Oreochromis niloticus: one gene and its partners. The protein of the gene in region 1 purifies or fractionates together with the protein of each later gene. This does not show direct contact. Links are inferred from orthologs where the notes say so. Each region holds a gene or a part of one and is shown in the gene's direction. Other genes may lie near its edges. The genes, in order: ubxn7, ufd1l and klhdc3.

Evidence for each region.
Region 2: the proteins of ubxn7 (region 1) and ufd1l purify together in Homo sapiens (affinity purification with mass spectrometry; 3 studies listed by BioGRID and IntAct, with this or other methods). This does not show direct contact. The link is inferred for Oreochromis niloticus from reciprocal best matches to the Homo sapiens genes UBXN7 and UFD1.
Region 3: the proteins of ubxn7 (region 1) and klhdc3 purify together in Homo sapiens (affinity purification with mass spectrometry; 3 studies listed by BioGRID and IntAct, with this or other methods). This does not show direct contact. The link is inferred for Oreochromis niloticus from reciprocal best matches to the Homo sapiens genes UBXN7 and KLHDC3.

The regions. Positions count from the first base shown.
Region 1 is NC_031982.2:16,074,267-16,084,178, forward strand, and holds the start of ubxn7 (UBX domain-containing protein 7), read left to right. Parts: upstream 1-4,962; 5' UTR 4,963-4,994; coding exon 4,995-5,100; intron 5,101-9,912. Other genes in the region: ppp1r7 (protein phosphatase 1 regulatory subunit 7), read left to right, coding at 284-460. UniProt on the Homo sapiens protein: Ubiquitin-binding adapter that links a subset of NEDD8-associated cullin ring ligases (CRLs) to the segregase VCP/p97, to regulate turnover of their ubiquitination substrates.
Region 2 is NC_031977.2:25,879,421-25,889,512, forward strand, and holds ufd1l (ubiquitin recognition factor in ER-associated degradation protein 1), read left to right. Parts: upstream 1-5,182; 5' UTR 5,183-5,331; coding exon 5,332-5,334; intron 5,335-5,528; coding exon 5,529-5,661; intron 5,662-6,662; coding exon 6,663-6,695; intron 6,696-6,780; coding exon 6,781-6,902; intron 6,903-7,322; coding exon 7,323-7,453; intron 7,454-7,548; coding exon 7,549-7,621; intron 7,622-7,869; coding exon 7,870-7,938; intron 7,939-8,019; coding exon 8,020-8,088; intron 8,089-8,161; coding exon 8,162-8,212; intron 8,213-8,292; coding exon 8,293-8,381; intron 8,382-9,122; coding exon 9,123-9,207; intron 9,208-9,303; coding exon 9,304-9,378; 3' UTR 9,379-9,776; downstream 9,777-10,092. Other genes in the region: putative ATP-dependent RNA helicase DHX37, read left to right, coding at 1-100, 438-575, 655-749, 1,372-1,445, 1,573-1,670, 1,756-1,832. UniProt on the Homo sapiens protein: Essential component of the ubiquitin-dependent proteolytic pathway which degrades ubiquitin fusion proteins.
Region 3 is NC_031978.2:24,074,941-24,085,766, forward strand, and holds the start of klhdc3 (kelch domain-containing protein 3), read left to right. Parts: upstream 1-6,489; 5' UTR 6,490-6,710; intron 6,711-8,236; exon of another isoform or gene 8,237-8,270; 5' UTR 8,271-8,341; coding exon 8,342-8,495; intron 8,496-9,510; coding exon 9,511-9,687; intron 9,688-9,901; coding exon 9,902-10,017; intron 10,018-10,104; coding exon 10,105-10,176; intron 10,177-10,826. UniProt on the Homo sapiens protein: Substrate-recognition component of a Cul2-RING (CRL2) E3 ubiquitin-protein ligase complex of the DesCEND (destruction via C-end degrons) pathway, which recognizes a C-degron located at the extreme C terminus of target proteins, leading to their ubiquitination and degradation.

The DNA.
Region 1 (9,912 bases):
CTGGTTGGACAGGGAGCAAAAATGACAAAATAAATGACAGAAAATTCAAAGTAAGACATAATTAGTTAAAGTACCCGTGTATTTGTATCACATAATTTTTTTGTTGAGCAGCACATTTAAAACAAAGCTTTCTTAAAAGTACATTTTTGTTGCTACGTTCAGTGTGTTGCTCTTTAAACAGTCGGTCAGTACTAAAAAGTTTCAAAGTGTAGTTCTTATATTGTTATGAGTTAAGCCGATGGTGCAACCTCACTGCTCTTGTTGTTTTGTATTATCTCCTCAGATGAACGATAATCAGATAGATAACTGGTCTGATCTTGATGAGTTGAAGAACGCCACTTCTCTGGAGACGGTCTACCTTGAAAGAAACCCTCTACAGAAGGATCCACAGTACCGGCGAAAGATCATGCTGGCACTGCCCAGCGTACGCCAGATCGACGCCACCTTTATCCGCTTCTAAGCTGCAGTGTACGATTTACCTGCCAGCTTCACAGTGTTCTCCCTCACCTCCCTGCCTGTCCTGCCTACACAAACAACAACCTTTCGATTCACATTGGCGTCACTCAATTATATAGCCGCGTCACACATTCCAACATATAGCTCACCCACTGCTCACTCAACATACATGTATGCATGTATGCACTCATTCAAACCTTGATCTGTACTTTTGTGTGGAAGCTTTTATTTATTAAGGTGGACCTGTGAAAATGAAAAACTACCGTACACTCATTTCCACATTTTTTTCCTCTGCACTTTTTTCCCCCCCTTGTGTTGTTTTGCATTTGGGATGTGCTGTTCTCAGTCATGAAGTTCAGGAAATTATGAAATCAGTCTTATTTATCACACTATTGAAGTTTCACTGTTATCATAACAGAGGAATTCTTAACATTGGAGGCATTCTTGTATAGTTAAGGGATTTTGGGAGTTTACTTCTTTCGGTTGGGCGGAAAAAGGCTGGGGGGGTTTTTGGGCAGGGATGTTGAAACACATCGAGTAAAAGAACAATTCAGCGTTAAAGGGAAAGTCTATAACATAATAGAAGCTGCTTAAGTTAAACTTTAGGATATGGCTCACCAAGCTTCAAAACTGTTCCAAATTTATTACCAACTGTGACAGTTTGGGAAGCCTCTAAAACGAAGCTCACAGCGCCATAATGACATCATGCTGACATCAAGCAGCATGATGGAAAGCGGATCCTTTACGGCTTGATTTACCATTTTAATAAACTGGTTCTGTTACTTACAGAAGGGGGGATTTTTTTTCCATGTCCAGCAGCCTTGTCTGTTCCTTGTTCAGAGATTTTACAGCTTATAGATCCATTTGCTGATTAACAAAACTGACCTCTGCAGTAAATAAAACTCATGAGAATGTAAGAACAATTAATGTGTCCATAATGATGGTTTTGTAATCAGTGGTGCCGTCACTTTTAGTTTATTTTAATTTTTTAGCCTTTAATGCATCACTGATTACTATGACAGAATATTAGGGCCACATTGGGAAAAACAAAAACATTGTTGCTCATTTTGAGAATAAAGATAAAATTTCGAGATTAAAGGCGAAATGTGGAGATTACCGTTGTTGTTTTGAGACCAACTGCCACGGTCGCACTACCCTCTAAAAATGCCTTGTTTACATGAGTTAGTGAAACAAATTGTGATCAAACATGCATCCTCTTTATTGGACGAGAGTGTAACCACGGGTAACCTCGCATCTGTCCACTGCCAGCCATTTCATTTCGTACAAATCAGCTCTTCTGTGTTTGTGTGTTTCTGTATAAACTTTTCAACGTCCTTAAAAGAGAAATCATTTCCTTACTTGTTACTCAAACTGATTCTGAAGTACGATTTTACTAACCAGGGGGTATGAAAACCATGCTAGTTTGTCTCGAAACAACAACTGTATTCTCCACATTTTGACTTTTTTTCTCAAAATGATTGATTTTTTTTTCTTAATGTGGCTGTAATACTTCATAGATTACAGCTTTAGATTTCTTTGGCTAAAAAAATGCTCATAAAGTTTATTTGAACTGATAAAATCAAAATGTAGATTTTTCCTTCATTTACATTCTATTGGCTGGTTTGATCTCATGATAACTAATGTAAGATAGACTATTAATGCTGCTGGTACAGACAGTCTTTATAAACTACTAAACTACATTCAGCAGATGTGTGAAGACACTGCATTGATTCATTTGGCATTTAGGATGGCTTCAAAAAAAAAGAATTTCTGTGTATTTATTGACAAGATTTAATACAGGATTTTCTCAGATCAAACAATACAATGACTGCCTGGAACCAAAGTTAATAGATTACTCTTTGGGTCTCCTGTATATAGTGCTCCTGTATATGCTTGAGTGCACTTGGTTTTATCCCTGGTACAATTAAAATGCGATGCATCTTTTATATGAAATATGAACTCCCCACCTCAGGGCTTTTAAGTTCACACGTGAATATAGTAGAGAAGCATCAAATTTATGTGTATTAAATGAGAAGTGCTAAACTAAGTGCTCCCTTTGCACTCATAATTATAACCTGATTTTATTTGGATTCATTGGAAACCTTTGAATTGTTAAAAGTACCCTGAGTTGGCATTTAAATCTCCCACTGTAGCCTAAAACCCACGCTGAAATGTTGGTTTCTATCGTAGAACAGCTGTTTATTGTGATTATGATCACAGCCTTTTTAAATCCAGTTGCTTGTGATCGTAAGCATAAATTAACAGTAGAACAATTATCAGACTATCAGCACTGACGTTCTTGCTAATTGAAATGAATGTAATGTTATTTTTATATTCAGCTTGACTGAAACTGGCCAGTGGGATTGAAAGTATCACGTTGTGTATTTGTAAATAGTTTGGACATGCCATGATGTAGAAAGTCAGTGCCATCATCACCTTCCCTTTGTAAAGTGACATTCTTTTTCCTCTTGTTTTGTTTTCACCCGGCAGAACAACAGATCTGTGCGAGATACTATAGTTTAAGATGACATGACTCTGACTGGTCACTGAAGGAGCAGCTGTTCAGATTGCTGTTTGCTCCTTGTTGTTAGGACTGAGTCTTCAGGTTTTGGGCTTGGTTGATGCCGTTTTCAAACTGAATGTATGATGCAAATAACAATAAAATGACACTACTTAAGAAGCGGGTTTGTGTAGTTTTAATTTCAAAGATAAAGAGTCTCATAAAGCACAGCTGTGAAACTTAATTCACCGTCAAATGATTATGTAGCTGGGTATTAAAGGATCCTTTATTATGACAGCTGCTTAATAAATTAGATTTGCTATATTAACAGCCAAAACAATAACAACACACTCTATGAAGCCCCGCAGCTCATCATCTGTCTGAAACAAGCTGTTAGCTGCATAGCCATTTAAGCCAAACTTTGGGTCTCCGGTGAATTAGAACTCATCCTATTGGCTGCCCCCAGCAAACAGATGGTTTAAATCACAGGTGGGTGGGGCTTGCTATGCTCACATTTTAGGGGACGTCCATCATGAGTCATCATACAGACTCAAGAGCAGGAAAATATATAAGAGTGTGATGTGGACCATAAAGTCTGGCCTCAAAGGGACTGCTTTTGCATATGAAACTTTGGCCATGTTTATTAGCAGTATTTGTCTTTTTGTTTATGCATGCATTACGTATGTATCTGACAATAAGGAAAAGCATAATGAGTTTCTTTTAAGTTAAAGTTACTGGACTTTGACTTTAAACAAAACTTAATTCCTTAATTAAAACTTAATTTCTTGAAAATCTAGATACACTCACCTGCCACTTCATTAGTTACACCTTGAAATACACCTTGTTAGTTCCCTGTTTTCTTTCAGAACTGCCTTAGTTATTTGTGATTCAGATTCAACATGATGTTCAAAACATCCTTTAGAGATTTTGGTCCATGTTGACATGACAGCATCACACAGTTGCTGTAGATTTGTCACTTGCACATCCATGATGTAAATCTCTACTTCCACCACATTTCAAAGGTGCTGTATTGGATTGAGATTTGGTGACTGTGTACGCAGTTTGAACAGAGTGAACTTATTCAAGAAACCATTTTGAGGTGATCTGAGCTCAAGTCTTCTATTGTTCAATTTGCCTGTAGGAACTCTTATCTGACAGTAGTGGCACCCGGTGTGGTCTTCTGCTGCTGTGGCTCATCTGCTTTAAGGTTTGACGTATTGTTTACTTAGAGATGCTGAAAGAAGTCTGGTTTGTCACCTCTGACCTGTGGTATCAACATGGCATTTTCACTCAGAGAACTGCTGCTCAATGGATATTTTCTGTTATTTTCAAACCATACTCTGTAAACCCTAGAGATGGTTATGTAGGAAAACCCTAGCAGATCAACACCTTCTTAAATATTCAGACCGGCCCGTCTAGCACCAACAACTATCCCATTTCTTCCCCATTCTGATAGTTGGTTTAAATTTAAGCAGGTAATCTTGACTTTGTCTACATGTCTAAATATGCTGAGTTGCTGCTATGGTATTGCTATTGGCTGATTTTGATATTTGCATTGATAAGCAGTTGAACAGGTGTACATAATGAAGTGACCAGTGAGTGTAGATGAGTGTAGATATGTTGACTGAATTATGACCAGGTAAATTATGTATGAAATATAGCAGTCTACACACAACATTATCATATGAATAACTCTGTGTCTACAGCACAGAAAATGTAACTAGCTGGTCTCAGTTTCTGAATATGAATTAAAGAAAGGTTTATATTTTTAGCAAAATAGCAGGAAAATAAAGAGAAATTTTATTAATTTTTATTACTAAGGTAGAAGGGTATATAATATAATATAATATAATATAATATAATATAATATAATATAAAAAAAACTGTGTAAAATTCCAACACACGTATTTTTTTACGTAATAAGCCAGCAACGGCAATTGACTTTAGTTCATTAAAACTACATGACCCAGAATGCAGCACTATTGTTACGCATGGGGTCCGCGTCGCGCCGGGCAGGGGAAAAATTACGACTTTGCGCATGCGCCTCATCTATGTTGTTGTTTGTGGCGGTAAGATGGCGGCGCTCGGAGATACCTCAGCTCCGGGGGTGAACGGGTTAATACAACAATTCACAGCAATAACAGGTAAAAATAACATTTTAATTAGCGTTTATTTCACTCAGTGGATTTTTGTGCTCATATAGGAACACTTCCCTCGCCGGATAAATCTTGAAATCCGTGCGCAGATGAGAAAACGGGCGTTAAGTGTTGCTCTTGCTCCTGCGCTGCCAGTGGTTTGCAGAGGGGAAAAAGCACAGGCAGTTATCAGCTAAACTCAAGTGAAAGACTCGGAAAATGAACCTTTAAGCCGGCAGCTTTGAAAGTTATTTTTAATCATCACTTAAAAATGTCTGCTTTTCTTGTTAGTGCTCGTTACAGACACAATCTCGCTAACCTAGAGCGGTTTTTATGCTCTTTTTTTGCGTGGCGTGTTGCTCGATAATGTGGAATGGAGGTCGGCTGTTCAACATTTCCCTTCTTCATCACCACCAGCCAGACTTCATGTTGTTACTGTCACTATGGCTCTGGCTGTGGCCCCAGACACTATTTATTGGTCACAACCTGAGGACTCCGAGTGTCAGCGCAGACACTATCTGTAGTTTATCAGCACTTTGACACAGTGGACGGTGTTTTTTAAGTTATTAAGCGGCAAAGAAGAGGGAGACTCTGTTCAGGGGCTGCTACTTGATACGGACATGCGCAGTACAAACGAAATCTCATCGTCGCCCCGCGGCACTCCGCTTAGAAATACTACAGGTTCATTCAGATGTGGAGTGTCCAAATCACTGTCACGACGTTGTGGACTACCGCCATGTGTGACATTAAGGCTTTTTGCATTGTTCAGGTGTTTTCGCACATTTCCGTTTATTTACCAAACATCGCGTGGTATATGCGGAGCATTTCCGCCCACCAAACCTTTTCTGAACTGAAACTGAACTATCACGCGGTTGTTTGGCGTTAACTCATTTCACTATAGTGATATAGCGTTAGTTTAAGATGTGCTTTCTTTGTCCCAAAAGTTGGGGAAACTCAGTTAAATAAGTAAAGCATTTTTTTTTTCATTTAAAATCAAAATAAATATAAAAGGTAAAATAAATGTGTCCATTGTCAAAGTGACATGTGGTTGCTTCTGTGACCACATATACGGAAAAACAAGTAATCAAGTACTAAGATACTACCAAGTTACTAAGTACTACGAGACTATGTTGTCACATGATAATAAAAGCATTTGATCCCTTGAGTGAATAAAACACGTGTGTATGTACTCATAATGTTTAGTGAGCTGGTTATAACTTTACTCTGGGCCTTATGTGGAACACTTATAGCATTACACAGTGAAGTTTGAACATTTAAGATTTTTTAATGAGGTCAGTGTTGCTGTTTGCCACACTCTGTGCTTTGCTTTCGCCCAGTTATATGATTTTATTGATACTGCTGACAGTGTTGTTAAATTATTGGTGAGGTTTGCATAAAGCAGAAAGAAGACTTGATCCGGTATAATACAAAAAAAGCGGACAAAAGGTTCACTGTCATGAGTTTGATGTGATGCTGGTAGGGATGGGTATCGTTTAGGTTTTATCCGATACCAGTGCCAAATTGGTACTTTTGAAACGGTGCTTGAATCTGTGCTTAAAGAATGGAGAACACAAACTTCGTCCAAAAACCTCTCATGTTTTTATTTTTAGCAGTCTCTTTTTTTCTGCAAAATGATAAGAACCGTAACAACATATAAACATCATCTGTGCAAAGATTTATGTTTTTAAAGTGAAACAGTGAAAAATTACAGCGCTGTCAATACATGAATATCCAGACGTTGTACAAAAATGTCCAATTCTTGCACACAATTGGACACCATGCCACTTGATTTTTTTTAGGTATTTAAGAGCAGTCATTAATTAATTTTATTAACATGCCTAAAAATGCTTTTTTTTAAAAATGCGTTTTTGAAGAATTAACCATACATTTACATGGTAATGGGCCTTTTCTGCCATGGAGCACGTAATTGGTCTCTGGCCCTTTAAAATCTGAGGGGCTGTAACTTTGGTTTCTTTTGGTCAATTTGCATGATTGACACCTCTTTTTAATTGTTTGAGCCAATATCTTGATGCATTCTCAATCATCCAGGGAAGTAAATCTCCAAAAGTTGAATCTGTTCATCTGGACGTAGCGTTTTGTGGGAGAAACGTTTCGTCACTCATCCAAGTGACTTCTTCAGTCTCAGAGTCTCAGCCAGTAGAGTCACAGTAACGATGCCACGTTCACGTTACGTCAACCAATCAGACGTTGTAATGCCAAAACCCACGTGGGCCCAAATTTACTGCATGTGACGTCTGTCCAGTCACGTGTCTATAGGTGGGTCTAAAATGGAGGTTGTTGACGGAAAACGACTCTGATGCGGCTAGGTAGGCGTGGTAACTGCTGATAATCACATGGCTACCGGCTACCGGAGAAAATAACGGAGGAAATCTGGACGGTAAGCCAATGTCTGTCTTAGCGCATTTGCGCCGCTGTGTGTTTTTGTGGTCTTCTTTTGCCGCTCATTCAGTGAATTTTGGTCAGAGTGTGGTGAAACTTGGTGTTTGGAATTGGTGATAGGCTGGTTATCTTCCAGCGCTATCTTTAGCCGGTTACATGAAGTCTGGAGAATTTCTGGTTCGCCTTGTTTGTATAGCGGACTTGTGCGCATTTACATAACTGCTCGTTTAATCATGGCTTGTTTTCGTTGAGTTTGGTGGTTGTAGAAATGGTTTATATGACATTTTAGCTGAGATTCAGAGGTTTCTGTGGATACCACACGTCTGGACTTATATTTCTCACCCCGTGTTATAACCGATTAAACGTGATCTCCTCCTTTTTGTTCGCGGTACCGGGGGTGTGGGGCTTAAAGCACTTGTTGCAGGCTGCTGAGTTTGCATCTTTTGCTGTGAAGTACAGCCAGACTTTTGACCGCTTCGCCTTGGGCATTTTTAATCTGTAGCTCTGCTCTAAAAGAACATACGTACCTGGGCCCGCCTACTATCCTTGTAAAGGTAAAATGATTGGCTAGAATCCAAAGTGTATGACATCTCAAGAAAAAAAAAAGCACCGAAATAAAGCACCAAAATGTGCGCTGCTTTTCGGTCTGGTTACTACTGTTTATGTCAGAACCGAAACCGGTACCCATCCCTAGATGCTGGTGACACCTTGGTGTAGTGGTTAGTACCGCTTTGGAATCCATCCTTGGTACTCCAGCTTCCTCTAATAGTCCAAAGACATGCTTGTTTAATTGGTGATTCTAAATTGGCTGTAGGTGTGAATGTGATGGACTGGGAACATGTCCAGTGTGCCCTGCCTTTCTATGAAACTTGGGATAGGCTCCAGCCTTATGTGACCTCACAAGTGAAAGATGGAAAGCTAGACTGTGATATACCACTCTCAGAAAAACATGAGCATTGTAATATAGTAACTAGGGATTGAGGAAAAAAATGATAGAGCGAAGTATGATGATATTTTGTGTAGTGATGTTGTATGAATACAGGGACACTAAATATTGCTATTTTCTTAAAAAAGTTTAAATACCCTGGGAATACTGCAAACAAGGAGGCTGATCTAATGCACCACCATCCCGAGATAACGTTAGCCAAGCAAAATTAAACTAAATCAACTCAACTGAAAAACTATCCAACACTGGTGACACTTAGCTTGACAAAGCAACTACCTAATTCACAGCTAATGGCTAATTCAAATGAGTAAAAATAGGACAACAGCTTCCTTGTATATAAAAATAATAGGCTGTATTTAATATTTTTATATTCTGTGACCTCAACTTGAGCTAACTAAATGTTTATGCCATTGGTGATTGCACGGGTTGCCTGATAGGTGGTAACCTTTCTGCAAACAGTAACAGTCTCACTTGGACTGACTGCAATCAGCTTCAGAGAGATTGTTGGAAGTTTACAAATAATTGCGTCTAATTTATTCATGTAGACAGATTCCTAACATGTTGCCATCGGTCTGAATGAGTCGTGAGCACAGCTCGAGGAGGACTGAAGTGGCTGCCCACTGGTTGTATTCTGGTAATATTTCTCACCCCAACTGGTTGCAGCAGTTGGCCGCCTTTCCCTGAGCCTGGTTCTGCTGGAGGTTTCTTCCTGTTAAAAGGGAGTTTTTCCTTCCCACTGTCGCCAAAGTGCTTGCTCATAGGGGGTGATATGATTGTTGGGTTTTTCTCTGTACGTATGGTTGTAGGGTCTACCTTACAGTATGAAGCACCTTGAGGCAACTGTTGTTGTGATTTATTAATAAATTGAATTAAAGATGAATTATGAACAGGAAGGTTGCTGAGTGTAACTGTTAAATGTTAATTTCTGTGTATATAGACAGCAACAGATATGTGATTTTCAACAAATTGTCACAGTTAATTGCTGTATTAACTAAAATAGACTGCCTTTAGTTACCAACTTGACCCCATTTATTTGCAGACCAATAGCAGACTGTCTTATGGCAACATTTATGGCAGGTTTTAGTGACAGTGTTGGTTTGCTTGACAGTCTTTTATACCAAAAAAATATAAAAAAAAATATTTTATCACACTAATGTAATTAGGGGCTGGCCAATAATTTTTTTTTTTTTAACACAAATACCAATATTTGATTTTCAGCCAGTATATTGTTTTATTTTGTTTAGGTAGTCAAAACAAAAAATGTTTGTCATGTGTGGTTATTTATGATTCCCTACTAAGATAATATGACAATGAATTTTAAAAATAAACTTTTATTGTCATGAGAAGTGGTAGATTACTCCTTTATACTCTGCCCAAGTCTGCTTAGATTAGCAGGTTGTTGTTTGTGGTGATTCAAACATGAGTTGCCAACAGGAAAAAAACAGAGTGCCCTCTAGTGGGCAAACTATACAACG
Region 2 (10,092 bases), on another chromosome or scaffold:
GAGCCGGTGTTCATTCATCCAAATTCTGCGTTGTTCAAAACGCTGCCAGAGTTTGTGGTCTACCAGGAGATCATGGAGACCAGCAAGATGTACATGAGAGGTAAATGAGACTGAAAGGGAATAAAATCACATGTGTCCTCTTAATTCGAACTGACTGCCAGGATGTGTCTGATTCCTACATGTGTGTCACAACTTTTTATAGTTGAATATATAAAAGGGACTACCTTGTGATTAAAAGGTTGTTACTGCATGAATCTGCAGGTCCATCTTTTATAGTCTGTGGCACAGTCCTGATTGTATGGCTGCTTACATGCTTGTTTTTAATCATTTTTACCTATTTTCTAAATATCTTTAATCCCTAATTAAAGGATAATAAAGTGGCGCTGGGTTACTGAAACAAGATTTGCAGACTGATGCCTTTCCTTTATTCCTGTCAGGTGTTTCAGCTGTAGAAGCAGAGTGGGTCCCACAGTTTCTCCCGCAGTACTGTCACTTCGGCTCTCCGCTGGAGTCGCCGTCCCCGTGGTTCTGTTCTTCTACCGGTACCATCAGATGCCACCGTTCAAGCACCTTCTGTGAGTTCTCCACAGCAGAGCACTAGAGCTGAAACCTCTTTCTGTCTACAGTTGCTTAACTGCTGTGTTTCTCCTGTAGTCCGTGTGGGTTGGCAGTTGCCTGCAGTGGAGATGGAGTATCCAGAGGGCCTGGAGCGCTACAGGCTGTTTGCCAAGTTTCTCCTGGAGGGACAGGTACTGCTTTTTGTTTATCTTGAACAACCCTTCCTGTAGTTCATCCATCCATCCATCCATTTTCTTCCGCTTACCCGGGGCTGGGTCGCGGGGGCAGCAGCCTAAGCAGAGAAGCCCAGACCGCCTTTTCCCCGGCCACCTCCTCCAGCTTGTCCGGCGGAACACCAAGGCATTCCCAGGCTAGCTGAGAGATATAATCTCTCCTGGTCCTCCTCCCGGTGGGACATGCCCGGAACATCTCACCCAATAAGCATTCTTGTCAGATGCCTGAACCACCTCAACTGGCTTCTTTTGATGTGGAGGAATTGCAGCTTTACTCGGAACCCCTCACAGATGGCTGAACTCCTCAGCATATCTCTAAGAGGGAGGCCAGCCACCCCTCTAAGAAAGCTAATTTCTGCCGCTTGTATCCACAATGTCGTTCTTTCAGTCACTACCTAAAGTTTGCGATCATAGGTGAGGATAGGGACGTAAATCCATTTGGTTTCCATAGTTATCCTTGTGACAAAAACAGCAATAAATAAATAAAAACACGGGAAACCTAGCACGAACTGCACAATGAACAAACCTGACAGGAACATTTATCTCACTCACTGTAATGTGTACTTTCTATGGTTAACAGGTTTGTCCTGCACTAAAGAAACACAGCAGTCACCTGCTCTCAAACCCCTCCATCATGCTGAAAACATGGGCAAAGTAAGTTGGTGCTCTCACACACACACTTTTATTCCCTTTTTACTGCATTTCCTAATTCATTTACTCCATAAACAAGCACATCTCAAGGAGTTTTTTTCTTTTACTGTCATGTCTTTGCCGTTTTTAGGTTGCAGCCCAGGACAGAGGCTTTCCTGGGACCACTGGTGTCAAAGAAAGTTGACTGCAGAGAGGCACTCCACTCTGTCTGGAAGACTGAAGAGAAATGTAAGCATTAATGTTCTTACTTTGCTTCTGATTTGGTTAGTTGTTTTGTCATCTAATTGTACAATGTTTTTTTCTCCTCCTCCAGTTCTGCTTACTGCATACTGCCAGTGGTTACCTGAATCTGTGCACCAGGAAGTAGCTAAAAGTTGGCCTCCTCTATAAAAGCCTGCGTCTAAACAACCGAGACAATGCAACAGACTCTTGACCGGAGACATCACATGGAGCTACATTTTGGCAGAGCCTAAATCTTTTGACTGTGGTGTCTGTTTTTTATGGTTAATCAAAGGGTGTTTACAATATCACAACACTGCCTTAGTATTAGTTTTATATTTTATTTACTGTACCACTTGTAAAGTAGATATACAGGCACAGTTGAAATGTCTTTTAACTTGTCATCAGTGTGCTGCTGTTGTTTATATATGTCTGATTTGGTCTTCATAAGACTTATAAACACTGTGACTGTGAGAAAAGCTTGTATTTGATTTCATGCTTATTAATACGTGTGCTTGAAGGTTAAAGGTCAACTGAACCACTTTTGCACTGTATGGCATTTTATTTGTCATGAGGATTATTACCAGCTTATGAGGAAAATAAGACTTGATGTCAACTTGGTCTACTCTAACTCTAGGATGGAGTCAGAGTCATTAAACTGTTAAAGCAAGTGGATGTTTACTGGGTGGGAGTGGTTGAGAATGAAAGCTCTGAATAAGCTGTGTTAAATAACTTGAAAAAGAGCACTACCAGGGGCTGATCTAGAAGGGTGGCATGGGGTGGCATGTGCCACCCTAAAATGTTCCCTTGCCACCCTAAGTGCCATCCTAGTCTTGTATATGACAGTGTTGTTTATTAAAATAAGACAGCATTAACACTTTGAGCCTAGCTACAGTTAACCCTGAATATAAATTCTAAAACTGAATATATTGCATGGTGTTACCCTCCTCCCACCCACCATTAACAAATGGTTCAGCCCAAAGTGCAGACCGGCTTTTTTTCTTGTTGTCAGTAGGAAGCGATGCCTAGAATTGTGCCAGAGCACATTTTAAATCAACACCACGGGCATTTCAGATTTTACACACAAAAAACAGTGTGAAACTTAAGTTAGACTTGTGTTTGTAAATGAACCGCCCCATGGTGTGTTGCTTTCTGGATTTTACACTTATCGAGCTACATATTTATTAATTATACAGGCTATAAAGTACATAGAATCAAAATTCACGTTTTATGAAACGGAAATGTTCAACTATGTGGGCTACAGAAAATAATTAAGTTATAGACTATATTTATATGAAATATGTATATACTTAGTGCATTTGAGTCATTTTAACCATATGTAACACCTGCATATGTGGTTTTTTAAAGGCTGTGATTTTGCCATCCCATTTGATTTCCATTTCCGTACCGGAAACCCGATCAGTACCCCGCATGCGCAAATCTTACGTCACTTCCTCTCTTTGCCAACATTGCGACATTCAATATATTTGAATGATACGGTTAGCGCCCAGTTAGCTCCTAGCATTTCTCAACAGCTGTGCCTCCTTTTCGACCACCGGGACATTTAAACAATGGATAATCCGTATACAAACAAATTTATGCTTTTCTCCTCAACAGAGAGCATCCCCCGATTGAACAACAGCGCCGTAAAATAAGAAGAATGGCGCCAAATTACAGAGTTAATAATACAGACTTTGTAATGTCTCACATGAAGATTCATCAGCCAGATGATGTGTTTACTGACAATTGACAGTGATAGTGGACATCATCATCACTATTCCAATCAATCCTCTCCACACAGACAAGCATAAACACACTCGACTATCACTAAATGAAATTTAACACACTTTTGAAATCACGCTAATTCAGTTTACAATAGGGTTCGTTCGCTCGGTCAGCAGGAGGCGGTATCCTCGAACACTGGGGAGTAAACTGCCATTAAACGAACAGAAGAAGAAGAAAACCCCTGCACATGCGCGGTACGGATCGGGGAGTCCTGATCCGTAACTATCTTTTTATTTTTTTGTTTTTGTCTACATTATATTAAATGTTTCATTATCGGAAACATTTTAAGAGACATTTATTATTCTTAACATCTTAACAGATACTCTGACCCAGTGGCGGTCCTAGCCTGTTTGGCGCCCTGGGCGAACACGCCCTCTGGCGCCCCCCCACTTCAATAGTTGCACCCTTTTTATACACACTCTTTATTACTCTGTAATATTCTTGTCAATCTTCTGAATATTTATTTATAATCACCTCTATTAATCCTTGATATTTATAATTGAGTGATCTGTATATATTAGTGCTATTTCTTAAATGTGTAAAATCTGTAACATAATGTATTGTTTGGAGTTTAGTCTGCTACTGTTACTATTTTTACCATTTCTTCTTGGAGCAACTGTAACCCACATCATTTCCTTAGGGATTAATAAAGTATTCTGATTCTGATTGTTTCAGGGTGACCTGCCATTATCCAATGACACATCTGTTTATCTGTATCTTTTGCTCGTTTCTCCTCCTCTTCTTTTCTCTTTTTTCTAAACTGAGCACCTGGTGGCTTTGAACTTTTCTTGTCCATCTTCCATTGGTTTTAATCTTCCACTCCAGTATAAACACCCATCCCCCAACCCGAGGATCACCACAAGATAACCTAATAAACCTACACCTTAGTTCACAGAGTCACTTTGTCTAGGGTTTATTTCTGGGATTTCGCACAACCCAGGATTCAAATCATGAATACATAATGGGCTTGGATTTACAACATGATGAATGACATGTGCTCTATTTGGAAGCAGCCGCCCCCCTCCCCTTTCGACAGGTTGTGTGAGAGACTTCAAATCTTAAAACTGTAAATTATAAATTGTTATTGATCCCTTTACCCCGAGTCCTAAAGTGTATATTTATTTTCTTGCTCTTCTTATATTTATTGTTTGTTTACTTGTTCTGCTGTAACTGGAGCCTCGTCGTCTCGTCTCTCTACATACTGGACTGTATGTAGTGGAGATAACAATAAAGTTTCCTTTGACTTCAGCAGCAAGCAGGCGCACCGAGGGCTCTCGCGCTCACTTTTCGCGTATAGAATTTCGAAAAAACATCGGTGCAAATTATAAGTCTGTATCATAATTTCTGGTGTTTTCGTGTTTGTTGGTTTGTTTTTATTTTGTTTTATTTTGCAAGTTGGTTATTAGATGCTGCTCCAGCCAGCCAGAGAATCCCCCGCCGCCCCGCCCTCTCCTCCCTGTGCCGCAAGCAGCAGGCGCACCTAGCAAACGGAGGGCGCCCTTGCTCCCAGCAAATGGGCGATAGAAAACTGATCGGTGCCTATGCCATTCACAAAATGCGCTGGCATGACGTCGGTGGCAGCATGAGTACAGCAATTTTGTATTTATTTATTTTTTTTGCCGATGCCCGTGATGCCGCCCCCACCACGATGCCGCCCCGGGCAACCGCCCGTGTCGCCCGTATCAAAAACCGCTACTGCTCTGACCCGTAACTATCGTAAAACGCTTCGACCGGAAGTAGACACCTTTCGCGCATGCGGGGTACCGATCGGGTTTCCGGTACGGATCGGGTAGTATGCATTGTCATTAAATTAGAAAACTGAAACAAAATCTGAAACAAACATCATTAAGCGGGCGTTTAGCAGCGAGGAACAGAAACAGTCAACATGGTGAGCACTGTGGTTTTTCTCGCCGGTAACTTTGTATCAAAACAAATCGTAGTTGCTGCAGTTTTAGCTAGCTAGCGGCTAGCAACAGAACTACAGCACAGCATAAAGATCCACTGTCCTGAACAATTCATTTGTTATCTATTTGCTCTGAAGTAACCTGAGTTTGACTGACAAGCCTGATGTTTGTTCCACAGTTTTCCTTCCATGTGTTCGAGCACCAGCTGGCCCGGGGCTTTCAGAACCGTTTCTCCACTCAGTATCGTTGCTATTCGGTGTCCATGCTGGCTGGACCCAACGACCGCTCCGATGTTGAGAAAGGAGGCAAAAGTTAGTCTCATTCAAAGAATGGTCATGTTGGTTTAGACAGGCGGCCAATTCAAGGTTTCTGAACAAAAGATATTGAAGTACAGTATTTTCTCCCATACCACTCGTTCAAATTAAAGTATGTATAGGTGAAGAATTAAATAAAGACCTTAATCTTTGACCTCTGCAAATACAGGATCTGGTGATTCTGTTTTGCTTGATGTCATAGTTTGGTTCCACAGTTGCTTTTTAGAGGGAAAGGTCACTGGAAATCAATACAGAGTTGCTCTGACTGACTTTTATCTTGTGATTAAACATTTTAATCCTGATGGAAGAAAATGAAACTCCCATCCTTCAGAAGTCACTCTGAACATGTTGTTTTAGTTCAGTATGTTAGACAGTGCTCTCCACCATCAATGTTAAAACATCAAAAAGGGAATGTGTTTTGGAAGATTGGTGCATCATCAGTCCAGTACATTTAAGAGACTGGGGGAAATGAGTTTCCTTTGTGGGGTGTTTAAGCTCTCATTTAGAGATAAGGTGGGGAACTTAGTCATTGGGAAGGACCTCAGGGTAGGCCTTCTACTTCTTCACATCAGTTTAGGACGTCCAGCCATCTGACTAGGATTCCTCCTGAAGCACTTGTGAAAACTCAAATGTCTGATGAAGTCAAATTGGACATAGAGTTTGATGAGCGATGGTGTAATGTTTGGCAGGTTTACATGTAGCTAATTTTCTGCATTCACCACTGTATTGTGGGTGTAATATGTGCCAACATCCACATGGTGTAACCAGCTCCCTTGTCCAAACATACATCCGGTACCGCAAACATATCTGAAGTTAACTATTTAACTATTTACTGCTTTGTGGTACTTGTTAGAAAAGACAACTGTAAAAACAATATCCTCAAAATGTCCAAGTTTATGTTGGTATGTATGAGGTGAAAGTTGCATATCGTATTTCAACATATTTTATGAAAACACATATTTTCCTTAAAGTAACTGTTATTTTTCTTTTCTTTTCAGTAATAATGCCACCTTCAGCTCTCGACCAGCTCAGTAAGCGCACGTTTATTCAAAAACTTCTTACTAAATGTCCTGTTTACATCCTGTTTTTAGCATTGCTCTATTTTCCTCTGTTCAGGCAGGCTTAACATTACCTATCCAATGCTGTTCAAGCTGACCAACAAGAACTCAGACAGAATGACACACTGTGGTGTCCTGGAGTTTGTGGCAGACGAGGGAATCTGTTACCTACCTCACTGGGTGAGAAACAGTAATGAGTTTAATGTCACCATCACACAGGCTGAACTGTCTCCTGTCAGCAGTGGAGGAGCACTTACTTATTCTTCTTGTGTGGAAGTGGATAACAATGTTGTAGAAGTATGAGTTTAAAAATCCAAATTTGTTGGTATTTGCAACATGTTGAACTAAATATTCTTTGCTGATTAAAATCTTTGGCGATGCTGTGGTTCACACTATCTTCTCACAGCACAATGATTCAGGGTTGAAATATACCAGCTGGCTGCAGGCCTTCTGTGCGGAGTTTGGATGTTCTTCCTTTATCTGCATAGGTTCTCCCCGAGTACTCCCACCTTGCACTCTTTCCCCCATGACTTGATAGATGGATGGAAATAGAAAAAAATGAAGGCTCGAGTGACATTTGCTGTATTTTGTTCGCTGCAGATGATGCAGAATCTCCTGTTAGAGGAAGGCGGTCTCGTTCAGGTGGAAAGTGTCAACCTCATGGTGGCCACTTACTCAAAGTTCCAGCCTCAGAGCCCCGACTTCCTGGACATTACAAACCCCAAAGCAGTGTAAGGAGTACAGGCTGAAATGTTTATTTGAACTTTAAATTTTTATTTTTTTTGACACTTTATGTTTTAACATAAGTGGTTAACATTCATTACAGACTGGAGAACGCACTGAGAAACTTTGCATGCTTGACAACTGGTGACGTCATAGCCATTAACTACAACGAAAAGGTGAATCAGTTTCTTTAAATCATTGTTGTAATTATATGTGACCAAGGGTTGTTCTTGGAGAGTTTCCTGGAAGATTAAACAGGAGACTTCTGCAGTTTTAAAGTTTGAAAACACATAAAAAATGCCTATAATGAATGTGGTCATGGATGGCTTTGATCAAGTGCTTCTATACTCTGTTACAGCCTACGTGTGACGTGTGATTTTGTGTGTGGTTTGTTTTCGAGGCTAAGGTAATCTGTGTGTTTCAGATATATGAGCTGCGAGTAATGGAGACCAAACCAGATAAAGCAGTATCCATCATCGAGTGTGATATGAATGTAAGATCCCGGACTTCACTACAGTCACAGTGAATTTTTCTGTTGCTTTGCTTGCTCATGTGCTGTTACTTTGTTGTTCAGGTGGATTTTGATGCTCCTTTGGGTTACAAAGAGCCTGAACGACGGCCTAATCACCAGGATGAACCAACAGTAAGGAGCAAACCATCATGGTAACTGTACATTTTCTGCTTTGAACAATGTAATAAAACTGTATTTCTGACAGGAGGAAGAAACAGATCCCAGCAGTTATGCTGACATGGACACAGGCTTCAGAGTGAGTTCAAGTTAATGTGTACTACTACTATAAGTACTTAAAGAACATAATTTAATCTCTAATCTGTGCTTTATTTTCAGGCTTTCACCGGTTCTGGTAATCGTTTGGATGGTAAAACTAAAGGAATTGAACCCAGCCCTGCTCCCATCGCCCCAAGTGACATTAAAAGGTGAAAAGAGTGTCTTACACATTCCCATAAAATTAGCTCAACTGTTAAGACAAGCTATTTTTACAGGGAATGTTACACCTTTATTTAACAGCATATTGTGAAAGGGATTAGGAGAGGAATGACAGTCAGCTCAAACTGCTGCTGTTCAGTATATTAAAGGCCCCAAGCAGGAACCATTATATCTATTAGGCTATGTTAGAGATCTCAGACAGGGCTACCTGTGTTGCAGGTTTGGTCAGGCGTAAGTTGGTGAGCTGAGTTGAGACATAGAATGTGACATCTTGAGGCACATGAGTTTGTCAGGAGATATATTTAAATTGTCTGAGTTCTGAGCATTTTTATGTATATTTTTTTTATGCTTCATAAAAACAGAGAGGAATACCGGATTTATGCTGTAAGGCAACTAGGTACCCTGGTCTTAACCCTGAATGCTAAAGCCTGAACCATACCATAATTGTCAGAAAATTCTTTGTTTACCTTTAAAAAAAAACAAAACAAAAACAAAAACTGGAGTGGTTATTGAACTTTCTGAATGGTCCACATGGCGTTGCACAGCTTTGGTGAGTGTTTGTCTCTACTAAGATGTACTGAACAGCAAAGAAGTATAAAATATACCAATGTAACTATACACTGGTATTGTCCTACATATGTTTTTAAGCTGTGCTCTGGTGACAGCACACAGCTACACCACGCAGACAATGGTTTCCCAAGCTGTTGTGTGTCTAATGTTTCGTCACACAGAGGGATTCCCAACTATGACTTCAAAATTGGCAGGATCACCTTCATTCGAAACTCCAGGCCTCAGCCCAAGAAAATTGTGGATGATGTAAGTAATGCAAACAGTTTTCTTTCCTGGCAATTTTTAAAGTCTTATATTTAGTGTTCATGCCATATTTTTCCATTTTCTTCTAAATCTTCTCAGGATGATGCCATGAACAGATTCATCGCCTTCTCTGGACAAGGGCAGTCACTACGCAAGAAGGGCCGAAAGCCTTGAAGAGATACAAACGGGGAGTCTGACTTATGTGCACAGACCTATCTTATTCTTTTCACCTTCAGCAGGTGTATTAAAGTATTGGTTTTCAGATGCGTTGGGTTTTGCCCCTGTCCCTTTTGAAATGGAGGTTTTGCAGTTGATTATAGCATGTAATTAAAAGTCTGACAGTAATATTTTGCTCAAAAGAATCTGAGCAGCCTAAAATGTCAGCTCTAATTTGGTATTCACAAATTCAGAGTGACTGATTTTCAGGAAATGTCTCTTCAAGAACATGAAAAAATGACAGCAACTATTGTTCTTATATCAGATTGAATGATCTCCGACTCTGCGCAGACCCATCTTTTCCATAATTCTTTTTTTATTTTTACAATCCACTTTAAATATGCTGTTATCCACAATCCCAGTGTTACTATAAAATGGGAGCTTTTGGTTTTGATTATACTGAGAATAATTTTATGTTTGAAGGTTTTTTTTTTCCTGACTTTTAGGAATCTTTTCTTTTGCTTTATTTATATAGAAATAAAATGGTGTTTTGAAATGAATTGCACTCAGACCTATTTTTTGAGGTATTATGCTCTTTCTGTGACATCACTTGAGTCGAGTATTTATATATGAAGAAGATGATTAGTGGATAAACTATTGGAATTGGTGAGTTTACATAAATGGGTAAAATAATGAATGATTGAGCTCTCAATCAGCAATAGTAACTACAAA
Region 3 (10,826 bases), on another chromosome or scaffold:
TAATCACATGCAAGAACTTTAATCATGTGATGCAGCTTGCTTAGAGTATACTGATAACATGTGTACTTGACATCTGAATAGGCAACTGTTGCTAAGTGGACAGGTTTGTTAAAGTCTGTCAGCACAGAAGGAGTAAATAAGGAGAGATCAGCCTTTATACTGACATTTGGGAATAAATGTTTATACATACAATCATCCAGTGGATCTGTAATCATCATGCACATTAAAACAAGTAAAACAGCAGACAAAAAACTAAATTTAATCCAAGTGTTTTAGGAAAACTGGGAAATATAGACAGGGAAAAAAAAGATATTGAATTATCCTATGAAGATCACTATTGTGTTGCAGATTACTTTAATGCTTCAGTACAGGTAATTATTTTTGTCAGTTTTTTATTGGATTCATACATCAATAAACACACAGACAACTTGGAAAACGTCTCATTTGTTTTTTGATCTTCTCGAAAACCAGTTAAGGCAACACTCATTCAGTCTTACTCTGAAAACGTCATTACACTTCACCTCAGGAGTCTGGGTTTAATATAGGAAAGGCAAATGCGATCCCCCCCTCCTGCTTTGACAAACAAGGTGGCCTTGAGGCCTTCACATAACAAGCTGGACCTACCTCAAAGTTCTGCGTTATTGTTTGCCTCACTCATGTCACCTCCTGTTAGAGGAATGAATGAGCTCATTGCTGACACCAGTCTGAGTTATGCATGACTTGTTGATGATAAAAAATCAACTGACATATGAACAAAGCACCGCATTGTGGTATACTTTGACAAATAAAGCAGAGTGACAAGACATGGGTTGTGGGTTCCCAGATTGTACAGACAATTTACAATACATAAAAGGACAAAAATGATTTTAACCAACCGTTATAAAATTCTGAAAATTCAGTCACAATTTGTAAGCCACGGCAAAACGTTTGTGTGGACATGAAAACACGAGAACCCAGATTATGAGCCTCTTTTGGCATATTTGTTGCATGGATGTTAAGACTCACGCATATTTTTATATTATTCTAGGTCATCTGTTGCTTAAAAGAAACAGTAAATGACTGAGTTTCAAAAGACCGCAGCGTCAAACTATTTTTAAGCATCAAAAGAGGATGATGGGAGGTTCAAGTGTTTAAGTGTCTTCAGATATGGTGTGGGAGAACCACTGGGGCCTGTCACTGACTGACTCAGAGATCCCCAGGACATCCAAGGAAAGTAGCAGCCACTGCCTTATCTGGCCCCTACCCATGGATGATAACAACAAGTGGGTTTTAAGCAGGTGCTGTGCAGTCTTCAAAACAACTGTACCAACTGTATGAGAAGAAGAGGGGTGAGGTTAGGGCTAAAATAGAAAGTGAGCCACATAATTGAAGCGGTTCAAGTGAAAATATGCCTTGCAGACAGTTGCCTGTCTCTGCTGTTGCAGTCAATCTGAAAACTCTGTGGAACGATAATTATTTTATCCTACTCTTAAAAGCACAAATAACACAGGACAAAAAACTCAAAAGAAGATAAAACTGCTGTGGAAGAGCATGAGACTGTAAGAAATTACGTGTACTTTCATATCTGCTTTATTTTGTGCAGTTGCATTGAATCTAGGAACACTTCTGTCTTTAATTGTTGGGATTTTTTGTTGTTTTTTTTTTTAAATTTGGAAGGTGAGAAGCCCACAGACAAACTTCTCCCTATTCTATCTAACAGCATCACTCAGACCAACCTTGAAAGAGATAAACAAGCCAGAGAAAACCTTCAGAAAATGTGCAGACTGTGGGCATATGCTGTCAAAGAAAAAAAAGATTACAATCAGCATTCTGTATTAAGCGATCTTCTTCCCATAGAGAGGATCTGAGGTGAAGTACAGAATGGTCAGATCGGTTTGATCCTACTCTCCCCTCATCTTGGCTGCTGCCAAAGCATTTTTGCGTTTTTTATGACCAGTGTGGAAATGATAATACGCTATTAAATCACTCATCTGTTTAGGATTTTAAGCTTTGTCCAATAACCCGCCTCCCTGCACCGCCGCATGACTTTCCTTATAAAATACAGCTTGTTACTTAATTGGTAATTGGAAACACAGCCTAACTAATAAATGCTGCTACAAAGTACTAATTTTTCTCTTAATTCAGAGCAATTCAAATGAACCATAAGCGAGAAAATGACCTAAGGCGCATACCAATCGTCTTCTTTAGAGACTCACAGAGAGGAGCTCTGTTCATTTAATAACCCCGAAATTAAAGGAAAATGTATGATTCAGTCATCTGGCCACAGAGTTAGATCATGCTCTATGACATCATTCTGGACTGCTCAATACTGCTTACCTAATCGAGCTACGGCGGAAGTCAAATCCGTACGTTAAACATCCGGAGATCCTGCCTGCACAATGTAGCAAAGCACTGATAGCCTGTGGATGCATAGGATTTGACATTTCGGGACAATGCTCAAACAACACTATGACTGTAAGAATGTTACTTAACTTAGACCCATGCAGCGAAAACACGTAGTGGAAACTATGAAAGAAGATCAGGAGCAGGTCCGTAATAATGTAAAACATATTAACATTTTCTGGCAAGATCCATGCAGTAATTTAACACAAAAGCGAGGCAGAAAGGAGTAATGTTACAAAAGTATATTAAATTAGTGTTTGTTTTTCAGATCAACATTATAAAAAAAAAAACCTTCTTCCCCCTTTCCTTTTATATAAATTGGTTTATTTTGCATGGAGCTGGTTTTACTGTTCATAATAACAGCGCACTTAGAAGTTTTATACCCCATGGTAAAGAAAAAGGTTAACCGAATGAGCCATTTCTACGCAAAAGCTGTATTTTTCTCGGCCACAAAAAGCATTGCAAAGCTCTTCCATCACCGGGCCTGCCCGAGAATAGCGAACAACAGTTGGGTTTTAGCAGTTGTTGTTGATTTGCGGAGCTATGCTGCAGTTGGGAACTTCTGTTCCCTATGTCAAAGCAGACACGCACACACACATGTGCTGGCTATAAAGTTTGTAAAGGACGCCACTAAGCAAATGTGTCAAAGAATGGCTCAGCAGGGCAGATGGGTGACGCAATCTGTGCAAACGCTGACAGGTGGGATGGCGGGCTGGGATTTTTTCTTCTTTTTTTTTTAGGCACTGCAGACTGGGTGTAGCTGCAAGAAACACTTTCACTAGGGTGGGCTCTCTGTTCACTTAAAAAAAAAACAGACTATGTCTAGAACACACACAAAAACTAATAGTATTCCTCGGTAGTATACAGGCGTATTGTTTTCCACAATATACAGTATGAAGGTTGACTGCAAGTAGAAAAATAAAACAGTTACCTTACATGTGCTGCAGACATGTCATCATTTCAAAAAACGGAGCCAAGTTGAAATTCCTGGGGCTGCTTCCAGACCATAACATCATCTAGCTGTAAATATGTAATGTCAGTCAGAGCATAATAAAGAACTGCCGAGTAGACAGCTTTCAGGATCACCAGATCAGACTGTCAGAATTCATTTTAAAGTTTTCAGCTGCAATGTAACAGGTCAAGATAAAGGAAAAAAACAGTATGAAATATGCTTTAATGTCAGCTGACAAAATTACAGCAGCAACAAAGTTTCAGATATCTCTCTAATCACTTATCAGAGCTCCAAGGGGCAGCCATGACCAGCTGTCTTTGGACAGCCGCAGGCACAATCTCACCATTGTGCGTGACGTGCAGCTGGCGCGGGGCTGGAATGCCTACACACAGTGAATCAATCAGAGCCCCTCCTGAGTGGACTCGGACCTGGGCAGTGATGCAGTCAGATCCGTAGCAGCTGTAATGTGGATCCTCAGTGCCATAATCCTTTTACGAGACTCCTTTCATATCAGTCTGAACATTTTAAACCAAGCTGATCACACTTAACCCACCCCTGTAATTCTATACCTTTGAAAATTTAGGCAGGATAATAAAATTGCATAGTGTGTCATAGTCACAGTGTGGACGTGTGAAACAGGCCGTTTTGTGGGTTTCAGTAAAATTCGCTAGTATATATGATAGGCTGCACATAGCAAAATAGCAAGTTAATTGCTCACATTTACCCCCGGCCCCATCACCTGGACCTCAGTTACAGTAGGAATTAAGTCAGCCATGCCCATATGAACCTCAGATGAAAGCTATTTTGTTCTCTAACCCAGGCAAGCTGCCCAGGAGCACATTCTTATTTATTGACAGCATTGACTTGGATGCAGTGCTTGCAAGCTGCAACATGAAGGGCTTTTCTCTATATCAAACATAAATAGATATGCAAGAACTCCCCGATTTGACCACATCATTATATTGGGATAAGCTGAGGTTGTTAGCCTTATTTTGTGGTTGGGTACACTGGTTTAGTGCCAGGCAAGCTGGGTTTCAGCCTTTGTGTATATGCGACTACAATGCTGACAGTGTAACACTTAGATTTCCTGGGATGCTCCATACAAAATGCTCATGCTCTGCCAGGCCTTATGAATGGCTGTCACGCAAACAGTATCAAATTATTATTATCAGATTAAATTTGCTGCCCAAGAGCTTCTCAACCAGACCCAATGAATAAGCTGGTCACAATATATGACCAATAATACTGGGGTAGGAACTGTACACTAGGGTATGACAGGGATTCACAATCTTTTGGGCAGGAGGCTGTGTGATGGGTATCTGTTAACCTTTGCAATTCAACAGTGCCATCTACTGCTCTAGTCACGCTACTGTGCATGTCACATAAATACTCGTCTGGGTCACAACAGTATCAAAAACAATGGCGCTTCATCACTTTGCTTGTTCAATTTCAGTTGCCGTGTTATATTTGTTTAAAACAGCAATTCCACATCATTTGTATTTATGACACCTTAAATTATGAGCTAAGAGCACTTAAACAAAAATCATTCAGAATTTGCAAATTGTTCAATTACAAGGATTTCTAGAAGCCTTTTTATGAAAGGACAGATACTTGCTTAAAAGTTAAAAACAGTCTGTGACATAAATTTACAGTACTGTAGAAAGGTCTTAACACACCTCATTTCTTTATATATTGCTAGGAAAATGGGAACTAGATGCAGTATTTATCAAAATATGTGTAAGCATGCCGGGCTGTGAAAAAGTATCTGACCTGTTCCTGACGTCCTTTTTAAAAAAAATAAATATTTGTAGCACTTACATGTTTGTGGCATGATGCGATGCTTGTTGTGATTTTGAACTTGCTTTACTTTGTCAGACAGGTTCTATTTAAGCGATTGCTAATCAGGCCTGGGTGTGGCTAGTGAACCTATTCACTTCAATTCAGTTTTATTTAAATAATAATTAAATCACAACAGCAATCTGTATATCATAAGACCTTATAATGCTACAGACAAAACCCCAAGAATCAAACGATCTCCTATGAGCAAGCACTTGGTGACAGTGGGAAGGAAAACCCCCTTTTAACAGAAAGAAACCTTCAGCAGAGTCATGTGGTTCAGGGATGGGCAGCTATCTGCCACAACCAGTTGGAGCAGAAGACAGGACAAAGGACACACTGTAGAAGAGCTTTCGGTCTGGCTCTTCTTTTGTCCTCCATTTTCAATTCCCTCAAAGTTTTAAGGACACACTGCATTAGTTTTTTTTAATTAAGTTATGTGTAGCCACTGCAGTGGTTCATCCCTTCAGGCTCCTTGGAAGTAAAATGTAAAGAATTGAGGGTTGTTTAGCATATTAGGAAGGTACTTCGTGATAAACAGTGATATGAAATTGTTTTTCAACCATCCTTGTTTGGACACAGTAATACAAGCCACAAAACATAGTTTCAGGAAGGTCTTGATTGTTTTGTTATTAGTGTTCAAATGTCAGTATGACTTTAAAGGAAGTTTTCTTACTTCTGACAGAGAACTTGCCAGTAGCAGGTTGAGTTTTGCTCGTTTGTTTTTCTTTTTCTTGTTTAAATTATTTCTCCAGCTTCCCTCTGTTGCACTGGGAGAATGGCCTAGATTTGTTTTAGCCCAAAAAAGGCCCATACTTTTACTGTTGGACCATCAGACTGAAAAACACAGTGAGTTATCAGTCAATATATCCATTGCTGTTAACGGGTATAGTAGATGGATACACATGAAAAAAATCCAGTAACTGTTTTACTGTTTGAATAGGAAGACTGCCTTTGCTGAATATATTTTATATTTCCGCATTGATGTATATTTTAGAATGGAGTGTGTCAAACAGATATCCAACAGATAGTTTATCTTGACGAGAGAGCCTTTAAGCAGTGACTGCAATGAACCCTTAAAAAAAAGAAAAATCAGCTTTCCTGGATGACATTGTGATTGCAATCTTGGCACATTTTAATTTACATGTTAAACATGTTCATTGTTATAGTAACTGGTGTCATTATTATGTGATCACGCCACGTGGATAGATGACAAAAACGTTAAGCTTCTGGGTCACCTAACAGGTTAATCCGGCCATTCTGCATAACATCACAGTTACAGCAAGACACTCAACTCTAACTTCTCTCTGTGCTGTGCAAAAACGGTGTCGAAAAATGCAGCCGCTGACCTATTTTGCACTTAGCACGGCAGTTAGTAAATCCATCTGTTTTTAAAGCAGAAAGACTCACGTGCGTGTTTTCCCAGGTATAAAACAGCCGACAGGGGGTGCTCGCGGTAACTTCTCATTCCATCACGCTTGGTAGGGGCTCTCGGGGGATAGCCCTGCCTGGCTGCCTGTCAACCACAACCGGCTCGAAGGTAGCAAAATTGAACATATATGAATGTTATTCTGTTTCAGTTGACTAACTCGTAACTTTGCCAAAGCTGGGAGTGAATGTCTTTGTGTTACAAGTTGTCTGTCGTTTGTTTAGAGTTTACGTTAGCTTGCTAACAGCTAAATAGTTAGCTTCGACTGTTTAGCTTTAGCCTAGCCTCTCAAAGCCTAGCACCTTGGCTGTCAAACAGCTGTTTGCAGTAGCACCATATTCGTTACTGTGGTGGTGATGTTGAGAGATAAGCGACCGCGGCGGCTAGTCAGTGCGCCTCAAAAGGTTGTTGTTATGCCTGTTAACGTTAGCTAAAGAGCAAAGCTAGCTAGTGTGTGAGGCGTCCACTGGGTGTTATAACTGTTACAGCTCAATGTCACCAGCTTTAGATTAGCTTCATCTATCAACAGTTTGTGCTTCAGTCAATCGAGATCTGTGCAGAAGCATGCACCCATTTCCAAACAAGTCTTATTTACTTGATAGCCGCTGTGTACTTTGAAGCACCGTTGTTAGTCATCTGATGTCAACAGTACACTGTTCAATAGGACAGGGGGAAAGAAGGTGCTTTCTACTCAGCTCGGCTCTTGCAAAATGTTCATGTTGTCTAATTGTATAGCAAATTATTCCAGATGAGTATTAAGTATGTATAAAGGAAACTGTGTGCACTTATACTGCTAACTTTGAATAACCTGGGAAAGGCTAAATGGTTTAACTGTATTTGCATGTTGAGGTGTCAATTTGCACATTGTGCACATAGTGCAGTCATCGAAAATATTGGCTCCAGTTAAGGTTAACATGCCTGGTGACTAGATTTGTGCTTGTGTTGCTCCTCATAGATATGTGGGCTTGAAATAGGTCTATGTTAAATGGTGCTCTAGGGGTTTTTATTTTTAACGGTAAACAAAGGTTGGAGGTCAGTGGTAAAGTGTGTCACAGGGACAGAATAAGCAAGGGGAGAGGGGAGGGGGTCAGCGAGGCAGGGTTACTTGTGTTTAACAAGTAGCGTTTTATATCACTTAAATTTCACTGTTCAGAGCTGAAAATGTCGCTTTGGAAATGTTTAATTTCCCATTGAGCTAAGAGCTGCAGGCGTACTTCAGTTTTGTCAGTCGTTACTGATAAAATGGGCAAATTATGGTTGTATTTGTTTTTAAGAAAAAAAAACAATAGAAACACTCACAAATATTAAATTGGCAAGATTTCAATAGTGTGTATAGATTGCTCAATCTCCTTGAGTAGTGTGGCACTGCTTTGTGTTCCTATAGTACTGCCTAAATGAGGCACATGTTTACTCTGACTTTTAACTCATTGTAGTGCAGTGGGTGGGCACAAAGTGAAGAGTGAATAGAAAGGCGTGGTAAGTGTAGGTCTAATCACCTCTTAAAATACCCTACAAGCTTAGATACAGGGGCTTGTACCCGTCAGCAACAGCAGAGCTGAGGTTAGCCCAAGGGAACAACAGTTACCCTTTGTTGTCCTTGATTGCCCCCTCACAACTTGCCCTGTTGTTCTCTTTAGCAGAGTGCTGCTACTACCCTTGTTGTGGTCACAGGTTTTAATGGCCTTGGTTTGATGGGAGCATCAGAGTGATGGTCTAAGCGCTCACAGTCACAGAAGTGGGGAATGTTGCGCTGGACTGTGCACCTAGAAGGAGGGCCACGGAGAGTCAACCATGCTGCTGTGGCAGTGGGTCACAAGGTGTACTCCTTTGGAGGCTACTGCTCCGGGGAGGACTATGAGACACTTCGTCAGATTGATGTGCACGTCTTCAACACAGGTATGTGGTAAATGTGTGCATTTATTTATTTATGTATATATATATATTTAGAGATCCATTGTTAGATTTGTAAAAGTTAAAAAAAAAATGAAATGAGATTCTGGAAAGACTATATTAGTGTTTATGTAAAATTGATTCATGTACTTATTTTTGTATCTTAAATGGGTGGAAAAAAATCTATTTGACAGGCAGGACAACACTTCTTTTATTCCCCAGTTTATTGAGAAAGGTTAAGAAACTGTTGTAATTTGTTGAATGTGCACAACTTTACTGAAAACTCACTCCAGTTGGCAGTTAAACCCCAGCTTTTCATTGCGGTTTGCAACAATTTTTTTTTCCAGTTGTTGTTTTTCAGTTGCTATCAGACAAGCACAGCTGTTTTCTTTAAATGGGTTAAGAGAAACACCCTTAACTCATTTTGGATGGTTTTTCCCCATTGTGTGGTCAGCCACCTGTTTTAGGGTTTTACGACTTCCCAAAGTAGATGGAGCATACCTGCTATTGGTGTATCATGAAAAGATCTGTGGAACTAATGCTTTGAGTGTAATGGAGATGGGACCTCTTTAACTACAGTTTCCTGTCATCTTGCTTTGTCCTCCTTCCCCCCCTTTGACCCATTTATTGCAAAGACTGATTCTAACTTTTTTCCTTTCTTGATGGTACTTTTTATTATTAAAGTGATGTTAACTGTACTGAAAGCTCACTGTGAGAGAGTTGTAGGCATGTTAACAAATTTTACATTTTTAGCATTTTAACCTCTCAGGGCAAGAAAGATAATAAAATAAATTACTGACTACCAACCTAATTTCCATTTTAAAAAAAAAAAAAATATATGCGAATAACCGAATATGTAGAACTTCCTTTGTAACACAGTAAGTATCAAGTAAAACTTGGCGGGCAGCATTGTTTTAGTGTTTGTTTGTTTTTTAATTGAATTTTAAAAAAATGTTCTTTAAGTTTTTATATTTTATTTATTTTTTAATAAAAGGAAAATGTTTACTTTCTGTGTTTTTAGTGTCATTGCGCTGGATGAAGCTGCCTCCAGTGAGGATTACAGGACACGAACGTGCCCGTGAAGTGCCATACATGCGTTATGGCCACACAGCTGTGCTGCTGGATGATACTATCTACCTCTGGGGCGGGCGTAACGACACAGAGGGGGCCTGCAATGTTCTCTATGCTTTTGATGTCAGTAAGTAGACCCTCATCTAACTCGTGCTGCTGAGAGTTTCAGGGTGTATTTCCTTTGAGATGAACCTGTTTGAAGTTAAAATTGTGACAACAAAAAGTAGAGGAACTGTTTTATATTAAGAAAGCTGTAGCACCTGCATGTGTGTGATAGTTTTCCATTGCATGTAACGCAAGTGCTCTGATCTCAATATTGAACAACTGCGACTGCCTCACAGATACTCACAGATGGTACACACCCAGGACTTCAGGGACTGTTCCAGGGGCGAGGGACGGCCACTCTGCCTGTGTCCTGGGAAAGGCAATGTATATATTTGGAGGATATGAGCAGCTGGTGAGTTTGATTTTTGATTTATTTTTGCTTACACAAACTTTCACTGTGAACATTAAAAATGAATCATTTTTTATTTATTTATTTTAGGCTGACTGTTTCTCCAATGACATCCACAAACTGGATACCACTACCATGGTTTGGTCACTAATTAATGCCAGAGTGAGTTAAAAGTCACTAGCTGTTGCTTTTCAGTCGTTGTTGGTTATTCCTTGACAGTGTTTCTGTATTGAGCATTCAGAATAATTCTCCTAACAAACAAACAGGAAACCCTCTCTTAAAAAAACAAAAATGACACAGCTGAACATCAGCAACATAAGTTCCCTGTGGGTATATTGGCATGTTATAAAAGCACTGCAGTGTGGAATTTCAAAGCTTCTTCCTGCTAGGCAAGTTCAAAAAGCCTCACGCTGGATTATATACAGTCTCCTTTTGGCAAATACTATTTGTGTTTATGCAGTCAACATGCTCATGTGATTAAACGCTTGTAAAGTATATTTTAGTCATGATATGATGGAGTTACTGTGGAGGAAGTCAATCCATTCAGTTTTAGTTACAGCCATGTTGTCAGAAAGGAGATTGGACTGTGGTGCTTACAGATTTAGCGGTGCATGTGACTGAATAATACTTAGGATTGCATGCCTCTTTAGGAAAATGAAAACTTCTGTGCTGTTACTCACTTGCTTTTTTCCCCTTTGAACTTTGGGATCATTTAACATTTTTATTTTTACATTTGCATCTGTAAAACTCACTTTTCAGTAATGATTCTGCTATTCTTTCAACCATGTTAAAGATTTAAAAAGCCCCCCTGT